Schizosaccharomyces pombe: one gene and its partner. The gene in region 1 interacts genetically with each later gene. Each region holds a gene or a part of one and is shown on either strand. Other genes may lie near its edges. The genes, in order: vrg4 and alg6.

The links.
Region 2: mutations in vrg4 (region 1) and alg6 are lethal when combined (synthetic lethality), as found in Schizosaccharomyces pombe (one study listed by BioGRID).

The regions. Positions count from the first base shown.
Region 1 is NC_003424.3:4,688,238-4,692,544, forward strand, and holds vrg4 (GDP-mannose transporter Vrg4), read left to right. Parts: upstream 1-1,903; 5' UTR 1,904-1,932; coding exon 1,933-2,970; 3' UTR 2,971-3,591; downstream 3,592-4,307. Other genes in the region: SPOM_SPAC144.17C (6-phosphofructo-2-kinase), read right to left, coding at 1-225, 276-594; cytoplasmic translation release factor class I eRF1, read left to right, coding at 3,690-4,307. UniProt on the Schizosaccharomyces pombe protein: Involved in the import of GDP-mannose from the cytoplasm into the Golgi lumen.
Region 2 is NC_003423.3:4,198,535-4,203,510, reverse strand, and holds alg6 (glucosyltransferase Alg6), read left to right. Parts: upstream 1-1,640; 5' UTR 1,641-1,808; coding exon 1,809-3,004; intron 3,005-3,052; coding exon 3,053-3,176; intron 3,177-3,234; coding exon 3,235-3,435; 3' UTR 3,436-3,763; downstream 3,764-4,976. Other genes in the region: glutaminyl--tRNA(Gln) ligase Qrs1, read right to left, coding at 1-94; Rho-type GTPase-activating protein Rga1, read right to left, coding at 3,764-4,976. UniProt on the Schizosaccharomyces pombe protein: Probable dolichyl pyrophosphate Man9GlcNAc2 alpha-1,3-glucosyltransferase that operates in the biosynthetic pathway of dolichol-linked oligosaccharides, the glycan precursors employed in protein asparagine (N)-glycosylation.

The DNA of each region.
Region 1 (4,307 bases):
TATTCGCATTGATGACATCCTCTTTATTGCACAGACTTTCAATAAACAAGATTTTAAACCCGCAATTCTTGAACCTATCATATAAAATACGACGTGTACGTCTAGTACCATTTGTTGCATCGTAAATAGCAACCTGACCTTTCTCTTTAAGTAAAAAAATCTCTAAGTCTGCTAAACATCTCTCAATTGTGTCATTCCTACTAAAAACATGATTTTCTGATGCAGCTGTTATAAGTTAGCAAAGGTACAAAACGTCGACTATAGTTTCAGCTTACCAGATTTCACAGGCGAACTAGTCATTTCCCTAGTGCGTTCGTCTATGTATTTCGCAAGACTGTAAAATCTACAATTAAATCCCAACCACCTCAGATATCTGTCTATCGACACAGCAATATTAGACTTGCCTCTAGCCGGTAAGCCAGACATGATGATTACGAGCTTTCCGGCATGAAAGAGCATACCGCTCTCTGTACTGTAGGGTTGCACACCTCCAAACTTTTCATTATCGAGTAAGGCTTCAGAGCTTCGATTGGCAGCGCGAAGCATGTTTGGATTGATTGCCTGCTCAACCGCAATTGAATTTCTGCGCGACATCGCAACGTCTAATCAAAGCAAGCTGTTTATAATTAGAGTTTTAATATAATATATGCGATTATATATAAATTATTTATAAATTAAATAGGAAGGTCCAAAATCTGATTGAAATGTACTTAAATCCTTTGCAACCACAATGTTTACAATGTGTGCCTTGTATGTGGGTATTTTGATAAATGATTTCCACAAAGGTGAAATATGCAGAATGTTGTTTACAATGAGTGTAATACCAATTCCTACTAAAAACTGCGGTTTGCAAGAGGTCGACTGCTTATATACAGAGAAGAGCTTCTTACAATTGATATGGGCACAATGCTCGTTTAAGACGGATGGCTAAACATCGGTAGTGCTTTACGCAATACATCTGTGGTTGCACTTCGTTAATTAATTTTTAGCAAAGTTAAGCGTGCCCTAATATACCGTACATATCTGCAATTGGAAACGCCCATAGGAGTTTAAGATGCGTAGCTTTCTAATGGTGGGGTATTTTCGCATACTTATACTACATGTTTTGCATTTGCAAGTTCAGTTGATTTTTGATTATTGAAAGTGGCATTGAGAATTACTGAACACTTCCCAACAACTCATAGATTTTTTTAGCCAATTCCATGATTAAAACATGCGAGTACCTAAACGCATGTATATTATTTTATAGTTGTACTTCATCAATCGTCTTCTCTGCGTCAACACTTCTTTCTGCACTTTTACTTTTGAAATAACGTCTTAATAGCTATTATGGTTTAAAGACTAGACTATTATCTACGAAAAAGCGTTTGTAAGTAGCCCACATTGCATTCGTTTATAAATTTATAGTCCAATTGAACGAAACGAAAGATCCATGTAGAAAGGTCATTGTCTATACGGTTATACTCCAATCATCTATTATAATATGAGTCAATTCCCTTGCCTCTCTAGTTCCAACAAATGCTTAAATTGTATATGTATCTGCATCGCGACTTTATATATGATCGACTTCGACTGGAAAACGATCTTCATACACTAAGGAATTTCACAACAATTCAAACACAGCTTTTACAGTAAATGCTCATACTTTGTTGTAAAACATATGAATTGGTGTAACATTAAGTGTGGCTTGCAGGCGAAAATACTCTTTTATAGATGAACAAAAAAGTATTTAAATAATTATATTTTATATGAGAAGACCAAGTTATTTAAGTTTGATCAACAGAGATGTTAATCAATCTGTATGCCAAAACTTGTTACCAATGGACTGTGTCTTTGAGGAAGGGTAAGGCCTGTTACGTACGCGCTCCTTCCAAACATGGTGGGTAGGTATGTAGACAACTTCACCGGAGCCATCACGAAATTCCAACAACAATGGATAATCATATGCTAAACCGAATTAGTAAATCACCGATTCTTCCAGTGGTGTCATATTGCATGGCTTCCATATTGATGACTTTGACCAATAAATATGTTCTTTCGAGTCCTGGTTACAATATGAACTTTCTCCTTTTGACTGTACAATCCACTGTTTGTGTAGCAGCCATTGGGATACTAAAACGTTTGAAAGTTATTAATTATAGGGATTTTGATTTTCGTGAGGCCAAATTTTGGTTTCCTATTTCCTTTTTATTGGTAGCTATGATTTATACTGCATCGAAGGCTTTGCAATTTCTTTCTGTTCCAGTGTACACTATATTTAAGAATTTAACTATTATTATCATTGCTTATGGTGAGGTCCTTTGGTTTGGCGGGCATGTTACTGCTTTAACTCTTTTTTCTTTTGGATTAATGGTTCTTTCTTCTATTGTCGCTGCTTGGGCAGACATCCAGTCTTCCTCATTTGCTTCCCAAACCTTAAATTCTGGCTATTTATGGATGGTGCTTAACTGTCTCACAAATGCTGCTTTTGTTCTCGCGATGCGTAAGCGTATCAAACTTACCAACTTTCGTGACTTTGATACCATGTTTTATAACAACTTACTCAGTATCCCTGTTTTGGTTATCTGCACGCTCTTTACTGAGGACTGGAGTGCTGAAAACATTGCTCAAAATTTCCCTCCTGATGCCAAATTTGGTGTTCTAATGGCTATGGCTATTAGTGGTGTTTCTTCAGTAGGAATTTCTTACACCTCTGCCTGGTGTGTACGCGTAACTTCTTCGACAACTTATAGTATGGTTGGTGCTCTTAACAAACTTCCCTTGGCTATTGCCGGTTTAGTGTTTTTTGATGCACCCATCACTTTTGGATCTGTTACCGCTATTTTGTTGGGCTTTATTTCTGGTGTTGTTTATGCCGTTGCTAAATCTCAACAGCAACGTCAGAAAGATCCTGCTACCATCCTCCCTATGACTCATAATCCCGTTAGTGCTAGTTCTCAAAGCATGCGCGATAGTCTGTCAAAGTCTTAAACCCTTTGTGTTGGTTATTATTTATGTTTAATTTGCAAAATTTTTTCAAGCCTGCATAAGAGAATAGACTTTGTTTCTTTTTACTTAAAAAGTTTTTATTACCGTTACTCAAAATATACCGCTTTTACTCGTGTTCGATAAAAACCTGATTACGAGATCGTGTCGTTTATTACAACGTGACTATTAGGTTTGAAATATTTTGACAGATAAAACACTGACATTCAATTACAATTTTTAGACCTCTATTATTTCATTTCCTAAATCATTTGCTTTTTTTTTCTAAATATCATTTCTTTCTTTAAAATGCTCTCCGATGGAAAAAGGACGTCTAATGTTCTTATGTCTTCGTTTCCTTTTACTGAGCTTCTAAACTATTGGTTGAATGTTTGTCAGCCGCTTGGAGTCGAATTGTTTAGTGATTCAATTTTACTAATATTTTACCTCCAAAAAATTATTTGTTTTTTTGTATATTATTGAAATACTGTAATAAATACAAATACGATAGCTAAGTTAACGAAATGTATCGTGCTAAAAGTTTTCATAGGCCGTCACCTTTCAGTAGGCAAAAACCTACCAACTACCAAAAACGAAGTACAAGAGGTAATTCGTTGCTTGAACTGTCTGTTCAAGTTATAAAAAAATAGGATTTCGGTTTTCGGATTTTTCATAGTGTGTACAAGAACCTTGGGTATAAAAAACTTTAAAACAAATTTTACAAAATGAGTGAGACTGCTGAGAAAGCTATCGAAATTTGGAAAATTCGCCGTTTGGTAAAACAATTGATTAACTGTCATGGAAACGGCACCTCAATGATTACGTTAATTATCCCACCTGGCGAACAAATATCCAGATACAGCAATATGCTTGCCGAAGAGTATGGCACTGCCTCTAACATTAAATCTCGTGTGAATCGTTTATCAGTTCTATCTGCAATTACTTCAACTCGTGAGCGTTTGAAATTGTACAATAAAGTCCCTGATAATGGATTGGTCATTTACTGCGGTGAAGTTATAATGGAGGGCAATAAGACACGCAAGCTCAACATTGATTTCGAACCCTTCAAACCAATTAATACTTCGCAATATCTTTGTGATAATAAATTTCATACTGAAGCTTTAGCAGAATTGCTTGAAAGTGATCAACGCTTCGGATTTATTGTTATGGACGGTCATCAAACTTTATATGGTGTTGTTTCTGGTAGTGCTCGTGAGGTTTTACAACGATTCACTGTCGATTTACCTAAAAAACATGGACGTGGTGGTCAATCTGCTCTTCGTTTTGCCCGTTTACGTGATGAAAAACGTCACAACTATGTTCGAAAGGTTGCTGAAGGTGCT
Region 2 (4,976 bases), on another chromosome or scaffold:
AAAGCTTTTTATTTTTTAACGTATCTTTTACCGTTGTTTCATTTAATCCTATTTTTGTAAACTTGGCACGTAACTCCTCATAATCCTGGTCCATTTTAGTATAATAAAACTTCCCTCCAAAAAATGTATAAGTATTGCAATAACAGCAAACGCGATGAAAAATGAGAGGGTACGGTTAAGTTTTTAATAAAGCTGTTATTATCTTTCAATTCATGTGATAAGCTCCTATCATTGCGTTAATCTGCATAACAGCGGAGTAGGGAACTAATCTTAAAAATCGTTAAGTTAATAAAAGTAGTTTCAGTATTAAATTAAAATTTAAAACATTTTGTTTACGGTTTGAAAATTAAAACAGGAATTCACACTTTTGCGCTTTTGAGATATTTTTAATTTTTTTTAAAAAAATAGAGAACGCAAAATGCTTTCCGAATCTTTGTTTTTTTCCTTTAAATGAATAGTTGTTTATCGGTTCTAAGCTCTTGCCTAGTAAGGCTTTTTTGCTTTCACTTTAATACTCAAGGGAGGATGATTCTTTATTGCTATAAAAGTTTAGATTTTAAAAACAGCATCAACCACTGTAGTGTACAAATGAATTTCATTTGCCCGCCAAGCAGTTAGTATGTTTTTATTCATTCAATCTGGTATCTCTTCTCAAACGAATGTACTTTTGGGTATTTTAATTAAATTTAATCTAATTAGGTTTTAAATTTTCATAAAATATATAAATAACTATTTGTGAGTCCTTGAAAATATTTCATTTAGCTTAAGCATAAATATTGAAATTATTCTGAAGAGTAAACAATATACAAACAATGCGAGAATGCAAATAATGTTAGTAACTATACAACTTCAGTTTCTATTTCAAATCGTTTTACAAAAAATTAAACTAAACATATGATTAGTAAATATCGCTTAAAATTATACAAATAATGGAGATTTCACAGTGTTCCATCAACGCAAAAAGAAAATATTAGGATAATGCTTGCTTTTACTTAAAACTGTAACAGACCAAGAAATAATTTTACAATATTATTATGAATTCTGGTTTTAAAAGCATGATTTTTCGTCAAACCGTCGCTTTTTTTTTTAGCCCAACAAGGGTTTTCTTTAGAAATTATCATGAACGAAAAGACTTTTAAAATTTCAAAGCTCTTAATTGCAGCTACAAATTCGAGATCAATTACATAGTAAATGTATTAAGGGAATTATTTTTCTTAGCATGTTCTTTGCTAATAAGATTTTCGTTAGAGCTAAATTATTAAACAGCAAACAATTAAGTAATATATTTCAGTTCATTGAATTTAATGGGCTAGTATCACTGAAACAAACTCCTAACTTGCCAAGCTCAATTTATTCTAACATTTACCTATCTTAAGAGAAAAGTAAATCAGTCAATAAGTGATACAGCTTAATTTTCATGTTTATCAACTCATTTTTTATGTTATTGCTCACCCTTGGATCAATTATGTAGTGATAACTTTGCGCGTATTTAATTTTTAGGCTTTGAAACTGAAAATAAAAAATAAGAAAGAAAGAATGAATTAAAAAGTGAATTGATTTTTTTGGACATTATAAAACCATATTTCACGATGATCGCAATGGTGGACCCATAGTCCACTTCGTGGTTCCCAACCCATTTCACTGTTATCCCAACTTGTATCTGCTTTGAATTAGCTTTTCCTTGTTTAAAACATTCCGGATACAAATTCACTCGTTTTTTAATCTTTAAGCTTTCCAAGTTGGATATTTTAATTTAGAAACCCAAAGTTTTAAAGCGAAATCCTTACCGTTTGACGGCCGCTTAAAACATGCTATCTGAGTTTGAGAATGGGGCTCCCGTTCAACAATTCGTTTCTCGTTTTCGATCCTATTCATCTAAATTTTTATTTTTTCCATGCCTTATAATGAGTTTAGTTTTCATGCAATGGCTTATATCTATCGGTCCTTATTCTGGGTATAATACACCTCCTATGTATGGCGATTTTGAAGCGCAAAGACATTGGATGGAACTAACATTGCATACTCCTGTGTCTCAATGGTATTTTAGAGATTTGCAATGGTGGGGATTAGATTATCCTCCTTTAACAGCATATGTTTCTTGGTTCTTTGGTATAATTGGGCATTATTTTTTCAACCCCGAATGGTTTGCTGATGTCACATCTCGTGGATTTGAAAGTCTTGAATTAAAATTATTCATGAGATCTACTGTTATTGCATCTCATCTTCTAATACTCGTTCCCCCTTTAATGTTTTACTCCAAATGGTGGTCGCGCCGTATACCTAATTTTGTGGACAGAAATGCTAGCCTAATTATGGTCCTTTTTCAACCTGCTTTACTCTTAATTGATCATGGTCATTTTCAGTACAACTGTGTTATGCTGGGTTTAGTTATGTATGCAATCGCTAATTTGCTTAAAAACCAATATGTAGCTGCTACGTTTTTTTTCTGTTTAGCTCTTACGTTTAAACAGATGGCTCTATATTTTGCTCCTCCTATTTTTTTTTACTTATTGGGAACTTGTGTAAAGCCAAAGATTCGTTTCTCAAGATTTATCTTGTTGTCAGTCACAGTTGTTTTTACGTTTTCCTTAATATTATTTCCATGGATTTACATGGACTATAAAACATTGCTTCCTCAAATTCTTCATCGAGTGTTCCCGTTTGCTCGTGGTCTTTGGGAAGATAAAGTTGCTAATTTCTGGTGCACCCTCAACACTGTTTTCAAAATTAGAGAGGTGTTTACTTTACATCAACTCCAAGTAATTAGCTTGATTTTTACTCTCATTTCTATTCTCCCATCTTGTGTTATATTATTTCTTTATCCTCGTAAACGTCTTTTAGCTCTGGGTTTCGCAAGTGCATCATGGGGGTTTTTTTTGTTCTCTTTCCAAGTTCATGAAAAGTCGGTTCTTCTTCCTTTACTTCCCACTTCTATTCTCTTATGTCACGGAAACATTACAACCAAACCATGGATTGCTCTAGCAAACAATCTTGCTGTTTTCAGGTAAAATATACATATTTACTGTTTAAATTATACTAATATTTTTATTAGCTTATGGCCGTTACTGAAAAAAGATGGTCTTGGTTTACAATACTTCACATTAGTATTAATGTGGAATTGGATTGGTGACATGGTAGTTTTCTCAAAAAACGTCCTTTTTCGGTTCATCCAACTGGTAAGACTATTTTTATTATTTGCTATTTTTTTATGCCAGGTGTATTAACTGGATGCAGTCTTTTTATGTTGGTATGATTGTTATTTTGGGAATTGATCTGTTTATCCCACCACCATCCCGTTACCCCGATTTATGGGTCATTCTTAATGTTACGCTTTCATTTGCCGGATTTTTTACTATTTACTTATGGACTCTTGGTCGCTTGCTACACATTTCAAGTAAACTTTCTACTGATTTGCGTAACAAAAAAGAAGCATAAATTGAACAAAATGATTTTATGTTACATTATTACGCGGAAAAATCAACATATAGTAAAGGATTTTATTAAAACAATTCTGGGAGAAGGATTGTTATTCATGACTTCAAATATTAAACGAAAGTTATATTTGCCTGAAATATTATTTTAGCCAAGTAACCTTTTATTAAAAGAACGATTATTAAAGTACCATCATCCCATCGAATTCAACACGACAAAGTTGTAAGCGGTACCAGACCGAGCTTTCTACTTTCGTAGCTGATCTAATGTTCAGTAAAAATTGAAAATATGATAAAACAAAAAAAGACAAATGGGATTGTGTATCGATAAATTAGGAATCCCTAATGACTGCATGCTGAGGTTTAACTTGAGGTTTAGGCTGAGCATCGCTGTTAGGTGAAGCTTCATCTTTAGTGGTAGATGAAAGCGAATTTGTGTCAGCAACTTCAGAACCAGAAGGCACGTCTGACGTTAAATTAGTTGTAACTCTTCTTATAGGTTGCCTTTTCCTCTTTGTAGACGCCGTATGTTTTGGAGTATTCCGTTCGTCAAGACTCATCTGAGAAATTATTTCTTCACACCTTTTATATAGTTCTTTAGATGTCCAAGCCGCATTATTATAAAAAAGAGTAGGATCATCTAATAAAAGACTAATTTCTCGAGGGACTTCACAAAATTTCTCAAAGTTCTCAATCAACAGATGAACAGCCTCGATGGCAAGGAAACTTTCGTCAACAGGATCGTTGCTTTTGGAATATAATATGTTCGGAGTAATTACGGTAGCAAGATTATGAATATCCATTTTGCTTCCCACCTCATCATCGATGTGGGAAAAAGAGGCAACCCAATATAGAAAGCCAAAAATTACCTCCATAGTGTCTCTATGTCCCTTGGGTAGTAAACATATTGTAAGATGCAAAACCCTCATGCGTTCTTCCTCAGACTCCAACTTTGAAGACGTAATGAACAACCCAAATAACTTGAAAGTTAAAAGAGGATCAGGAAGCTCTCTAAGGAATTTTTTCAATAAAGCAGCCAACTGAATGGGTGTTTCTTGCTCATAATCAATTGAATCCGGAGAAACATCGAGCATGTCAGATAGCTCTTTTAACCTACGTATATTTCCGTTCTTTCTAAATACACCAACTACTGACATATCTTTTCTTTTCATAGCAGCCAATGTATTCCCAATAAAGGCAGGAATATGCTTGACACCCACGCCTGTTCCAACCGTCGACTGAGCGTTATTACGCTCAACAAGAATCTCCAATGGCACCCCAAAGGTACCTTTCTTTTTCACGTTCTTTTTTTCGGCATCTTTCCCCTTGAAAGCCTTTCCAAATTTTTCCCAGAAACCACCTTTGCGCAAATCGCTCATTTCCATCAATTCATCAAGTGAATAATAATCCCGTACAAGAGGGTGCAATATTAATACAGCTACGTGCTTGGTAAATAATAATTCTAAATTAGAAAGATCTGAGAGATAACGAATAGGAGCATCTTCTGATTTAGGAGTCAAACCCTTTTGCGTACCATCATTTTTA